2 linked regions of the Daphnia pulex genome follow. The protein of the gene in region 1 interacts with the protein of each later gene in a pairwise test. Links are inferred from orthologs where the notes say so. Each region holds a gene or a part of one and is shown on either strand. Other genes may lie near its edges.

Region 1 (3,613 bases):
TATATATTATATTATCGATTCTATTACGTCGAAACAAAAGCCAATCATTTGTCTTTTATTTTCCATGCGTGTGTGTGTGTTTCAGATTCCAGAAGCTCAGTACAAGAATTGTATATACATGTTCGCACAGACACAACAAACACAATGTAGTTTTTCTTTGACGTTTGATTTCGATCCAACCACTTTATTATTACGTCTCTCTCTCTCTCTCTATCTCTCTCTGGCTCATCGATTTTGTCCTTAATTGTGAATAACTTGTTTTGAAATCATCTCTTTAGCTTCCCGTATCATGTTGTTTCACTACCCGCCGATCCTTCCCCTCCGCCATTCGAATGGAGACGAAAACAAAGTTTCGAAAAAGAAAGAAAATCAACTTCATTAAAAAAGAGGAAGTGTTTTTGAGTGATGTGATTAAATACTCGGATGAGCATGGCTATGTGATGTAGTGCGATTACATCTCCAAAAAATCCACCCCCAACCCTCAACCCATTTCCACACTTTGAAAAAAACAAAAATGTTACATAACATGTGTGACGATGATGTGATTATAACTGAAAAGAGAGAAGAAGTAAACCCGGTTTGAAAAAGATAATAACAGAAAAATAATCGACGAAAAGATAAAAAAAAAATACACACAAACACACACTGTCTATACCATACGATTGACTTCTCAGTTATTGTTTTATTATTTATTATTCCGCAGCATCGGCGGAATATACTATCATTATTTGCACATAAAAGTTGATGATGAAAGAAAACAAGATTTTTGCCATCATTAATCAAGTATCGAACATTTACAACCGCCGAAGAGCGGGGACACCAATTGAGAAACATTTCAAATAAAAACCTACACCTAGCCCCCAAACTGAGCACGATTCAATGAAAGTAACTGATGACGATAAACAATTCGAAAAAAGATAAATCAGATTCTTTTAAGTAAGTTGAGAGGACTGCTGCTTCTGAACTAAAGGACAAAAGGGACAAATTCATTAGTGTCAGCTCGCTGGAGTGGTCCAGCCGGTCGCGAGGACACTGAAGACAAACATGTTGTTGGATTAATAATCTGACAAGAATTCCGGGGTGTCACTCTACACCGTGAGCAAAAATCATGATGAGACCCGGTTCCAATATCATATCTGGATTCATATGTCCGTTGTCGCAGGCCATGACGGCCACGGCTTGTTTGCCCGGAATCCTCCGGCAGACATAGTTCTCGTATTGACGCCGGTTCAGCTGGCGGATTTCCAACGACGACAATCCCGTCGGCCACCGCCGTTCGTGGGCGTTTTCCATCAGATCCTGGATGATGTGCGGTGGGCAACCCGATTCGGAAAGGGCTCTCTTGATCATTGCCTGCAACTTTAAAAGGTTATCGTATTTGATTGAATGTATTGAGCTCGCCAACTGTAGGATATTACCTGTAGCACCGTGTCCGGAGTCGAGATCATGCCACCCCAGCGCAGGACTCTCGCCTTGGGTAGAGTTTCGGCCCAGCGTCTCACTTCGTCGGCTTCCATCTGATCTGCCAGAATCCGCAGCGAAGGATTGGCGTTCCGCATGGCTAGCATGTAGTCCTTCAGCAGCTGCAGTTCTCGTTTCTGTTCGCTCATCTGAAATTTGCCCTCGGCTACTTCCGCCTGCACCTCAACTAGTTTCGATTGCTGGGCCTGCATCAACGAGCGCAGCTCTCGCACGCAGTTGTGTTCCTGGAAATGCAATCAACATAAATAAGGTACTATTTAAAGTTGTAACCTGTAAAACAACCCACTTACTTTCAACTCGTCTTTTGGCACAACTAGCCCACAGCCGAGCTCACATGGCACCGGTCTCTTTGGATTGAACTCACATTCTTGTACATGAGACTCCAGGGCATCTAGTTTCAATATTGCAGTGCACCCATAAACAGAGTTATCACAAGTGAGCTGTAGTCTAGAAAAATAATAGAGAAATGGTACAATTTCATACTGATAATAAGGTTTCAAACTTCCAAACCACCAACCTGTATAGTAGGTTCCGAAGTATTCTGGGAACAGGTCTCAGCTGAGGAGGGGTTATGTTTTGTCTGTCGACAGGACAAGTTGGCTGTCTCGAGAGCCACTCGTGAATGCAAGCAGAGCAAAATGCATGCTCACAGTTGGGTGCCTGAAATTACAAGTCTATTAAATCCATCACATTCCCTCTGGGGAAATTTTATTGCTACTCTCGCTTTTGGAAGCGAACTGTCATTATTACCTGTAACGGATTTTCGAGCACTGAACTACAAATTGGACACAACAATTCTTCATCAACTTCTCCTTGAAATCGATTTATTTCAATTCCCATTTTTCTTGGTTAACAAAACGGCCAAGAAAACTTTGACCTAATTAAGTAAACACACCTGCTTCTCAGTAAGAGTTCGCGTTTCTTTCTTTTTTAATAAAGGGGGAACAGAATTGACGTACCTAAATAAATGCAACAACAAGGTGTTGCAGAGCCATCGGGCGGTAGAAAAATTAAACCGTAAAACGCAGTCTGACGGTTAGGGAACGAAGTTTACATATGGAAGTGCCAACGTCACTTCTTTTCATTTCAAACCAATCCTTCAAATGCTGAACATGTAAGTTGATCAACACGTGGTTATTCTGGGTTTTCTAATTTTTTAGTTTCTCATTTAAGTTTTGAAAACGTAGTTGTAGGATATGGTTAACGCTCTTAACACAGTAATTAGCCTGAACATTTTTAATATCTATATGTGTATTGCTTTGGTAAGGTTGAAGTCTAATAAAACCGACTTTCTCTAAGAAGTATATTATAGAGAAAGAAGCCTCAGGTTGGTCTGGGGTTTCTTTGGTTAAAATGGACAAGTTTGATAATAAGTAGTTTTAAGTGAAATTCCATGTTCAGTCTGAAATCAATGTTGCAGTAACGGTCATGAGGCGAATGAAATTTCCTCTTGTCTAGTAACTAACTTGTCAATTTAAGTTGTTAATTTGCCTCATGTAGGAACAGGTTTGATTATATCTCTTAATCTGTTCATTTTAGGTTGATATCTTCAATGCCAGGAGGGATGATGGCAGATGAGTGCAAGGATCGGAAACAATTTTTGAAGGGCTGTGAGACAAATCATGCATTTAGGCTACATTGGTGCCTTGAAGACGACTAGTTTGGAAGGTAAAAACGAATTCCTATTGTATATGGGTAAATAGTCCTGATGACCCTAGGATTACAATGAAATTTAGTGTACCTAAATTAATATTTTGATTAAATCTCTATCGCAATATTCTGAAGTGTAGACCAAAGCAGTATCACACTGAAATGGTTTGTAGATTTTCATGATCAATTATGTCTAGATTGATTTCTGACCTCACTTGGTTTTGCACCGGTTGGTTGTAACCTATCTTCCAGAATTCGCTGATTTGAATGTAATCGAGGAATAAAGGTTGGTTTTCTTATCATATATGTAAAATATGCTGTTGGATTTTGCTGATGACACTCTTAGGACACCTAAATATGTACCCTGATTACTAAATGTGCTGAAAGTATCGAGTGACTTGTCGTCATTTTGGTCTAGTCCTCGCCTTAACGTTATATCGTTTTTACAGAGAAGATTCCATGCCAAGACATTTCGTGGAGG
Region 2 (2,799 bases), on another chromosome or scaffold:
CAGTTCGTCGTCTGATTCATATTTGTGCGATTCAAACTCTTCGGATCCGTCTCTGTTTGCTGGTGCATCCGGTCCTGAACTTGTGAGCGAATTGGGACTCGCCAATTGGAAGAGTAGCCATTGTGGTTCGGCTACTAGCGGCCATAGTGGCGTCGGTTCGTCGTGGACAAGTGATTCTTCTTCTTCTGACTTTTCGGGTGTGAGATGGAAAAGTGAATTGGGCGACGAACTGGAAGGCTTCGTCCACATCTTGGTTGGTTCCTAGTATTTCTTCTTGGCGCACGCTCTCTCTCTCTCTCTCTTCCACACGTTGCTCTCTCGATTACAGTGAAAAAACTTCCATTTGCTCAAGTGAACCAGAGAGAGAGAGAGAGAGACGATTCTTCAATGAAATCATGTTCCGACATACAGACATACACCAATAAATGCTTTTGAAAGCAACTAACTACCCAATTTCAGCCCTAGACAAATCACGGACAGCTCCTCCTACTCGAGGTTATCCTCCGATCTGTTATGTGTACATAACGTGTACAAAATAAATTGTGTTGTATCGAAAATAAATGTTCATCATGTTATGTAACCAATTTTTACGACACGCCATATCCAATACAAAAAAAGGATTGAAACAAAAACCACCGGCCTTATTGTTTATTTGAGTTGGATTTCTTTAAAATTGTGGCAAATGCCGAAACGTTGGAGAATTTCTTCATTTAATGGAGCGTTACCTGGTCGGACCAGCAGTTTGACCTGGACACCGGCTTCGTTGGCTGCAATAGCTTCTGTTTACAATAGAACAAGGCGATAGAGTTAATCAGTGTGTGAATTGCCCTAGTGTATCTCCTTTACCTGCTGGAAGGTCGGTAAGAAATAAAATCTTATCTGGTGCAACTCCAATCGATTTAGAAATCTCCTGATAACTGGCTGACTCGATTTTCAAACCGATTTTCGTATCAAAATGACCGGAGAAGTACTGGGAGAAAAATAGCATTTTAACATTAGCGGGAACATTCAAACTCGCTGTAGTGTGGGATGATTACTACCTGGAGCAAATTTCCAGCAACAGAGTGCTGGAACAAAAGTTTCTGCGCTTCGACGCTCCCAGATGAATAAATGTACACTTTTTGGCCGCTAGATGTCCATAGCTTTAGCGCTTCTTGAACGTCCTCGTACAAACTGTTTCAAAAGGAAAATTAAAGGAATGAATGTTTGGCAATTGTGTTTAATATTTCACGAAAATTTAAAAACAATAATGTGGAAATGCCATGGGCCCAAATAATAATTCTGAAATGGAAAGCAAAAAATGCATTTACTGGCCCTGAATTTCTCCAGATGAATATCCTTCTCTCCACATGTGGCCTTGCAATTGTTTTAAAGCTGTCATCTTTCTATCTTGATCCATATTCCAGTTTACGTTAGTAATTACAGAACTCTGTATTAAGGTGGGAGTTTCAAAAGAACTGGCAATTTCAGGCACCCCACCCATCTTAGTTGCATCTTCTGTTGCCTGTGAATCAATTATTATACATGTGTTTTGACAGCATGTATTCAGGATAATACTCAATCATACCTGTTTCCTCAACGATTCAACATCATCTTGCACTTCTAGTGAATCCCAGTTAGACTCCAAATAACTTTCAAGTTTTCTTCTTATATATGGAAACAGCTCATCCTGAAAAGTCAGTCCAGGTAATATTGCCATTTTACTTAAACTTTCACTTAAATGGATCATACTAATAAAACCTACTTTGACAAAACTGATGCTTGTTGTGGTTCCCTGTAGAAAACAAATTACATGTTCACTTCAGAGTACTTAAAAATCAATACTTACAGAAAGGGCCTAGTTTGGTTTACCTCAATATCTAACAGTAAACATTTGATATCCATTTCTGCCACTGTGTCGAATGTCCAATGTCAAAATTGATGGCTCAATTTAGACTTATAAAAACGAAGTGCCAACACGTGTGGAAACCGACTCAAGCAGACAAACTGTACGATCGAAAATGTAAATTGAATGACAGGAAAAGATTGGAATCAAATTGTAAACAAGTTTTCGCCATCTAGGAACCGCGCACAAAACACGATACCAAATACAAGAGGATATTCAAAATTTCTACTGGTCAAGTTGAGTTGCATAAATTGGCAACGTGGCTTCTCCTAAATTTCACGAAAGTACGTCTGCTGTACGGTAAACGGCGGATTTTTCGTTGGTCGTCGTATTAACCAAGGATAACATAACAAGTGAAATCCAACTTATCAGTTTACCATAAGTCAAAGATTAATTTGATTGGAATTCTGAAGTCACATAAAAGAATAGAAACAACATTTTGCCATATAGAGACATCGCCAAAACAAAGAAGTCAACTGCTCTAACCTTGACCACCGTGACATTTCTAATAAGGTAGTAAACTGACATCCAAAGTCGAAAAAATTCTGTTTTGTGGCTACCCAGTATCATTAGTTAGTAAACACTAATGGTTGGTATTATTTAAAAAAAAAATTGTTTGACTTTGGATATAAGTTTTCTAGTGAACTGAAACCTTCAAAATTTTCTGAAAAAGTGTATTTAATTCGATTTTTTGGCAAGCCACCATTTAAAATAAATTATTTATATCTCATAAACTATCAAACGTAAAAAATTGCAATATGGACCAATCTCTCATTCCATTTTCTAGAGAACCTTGGATAACTGATTGGTGGTTTCATGTGTAAGTTCACTTGTCATGTCACTGAACTTTCTTTGTTGCAGTCTAATATGGTTTAAAAGTATTGATCTGCTCTTACGTCTATCTAATTTTTAAG

The links.
Region 2: the proteins of E3 ubiquitin-protein ligase NRDP1-like (region 1) and enolase-phosphatase E1-like interact in binary tests that used the Homo sapiens proteins (3 or more experiments, as listed by UniProt). The link is inferred for Daphnia pulex from reciprocal best matches to the Homo sapiens genes RNF41 and ENOPH1.

The regions. Positions count from the first base shown.
Region 1 is NC_060021.1:11,015,634-11,019,246, reverse strand, and holds E3 ubiquitin-protein ligase NRDP1-like, read right to left. Parts: upstream 2,375-3,613; 5' UTR 2,323-2,374; coding exon 2,233-2,322; intron 2,143-2,232; coding exon 2,000-2,142; intron 1,930-1,999; coding exon 1,773-1,929; intron 1,707-1,772; coding exon 1,419-1,706; intron 1,360-1,418; coding exon 1,084-1,359; 3' UTR 653-1,083; downstream 1-652. UniProt on the Homo sapiens protein: Acts as E3 ubiquitin-protein ligase and regulates the degradation of target proteins. Polyubiquitinates MYD88. Negatively regulates MYD88-dependent production of pro-inflammatory cytokines.
Region 2 is NC_060017.1:3,897,198-3,899,996, reverse strand, and holds enolase-phosphatase E1-like, read right to left. Parts: upstream 2,021-2,799; 5' UTR 1,885-2,020; coding exon 1,852-1,884; intron 1,775-1,851; coding exon 1,745-1,774; intron 1,670-1,744; coding exon 1,568-1,669; intron 1,505-1,567; coding exon 1,311-1,504; intron 1,174-1,310; coding exon 1,041-1,173; intron 971-1,040; coding exon 847-970; intron 780-846; coding exon 649-779; 3' UTR 634-648; downstream 1-633. Other genes in the region: uncharacterized protein LOC124193642, read left to right, coding at 1-265. UniProt on the Homo sapiens protein: Bifunctional enzyme that catalyzes the enolization of 2,3-diketo-5-methylthiopentyl-1-phosphate (DK-MTP-1-P) into the intermediate 2-hydroxy-3-keto-5-methylthiopentenyl-1-phosphate (HK-MTPenyl-1-P), which is then dephosphorylated to form the acireductone 1,2-dihydroxy-3-keto-5-methylthiopentene (DHK-MTPene).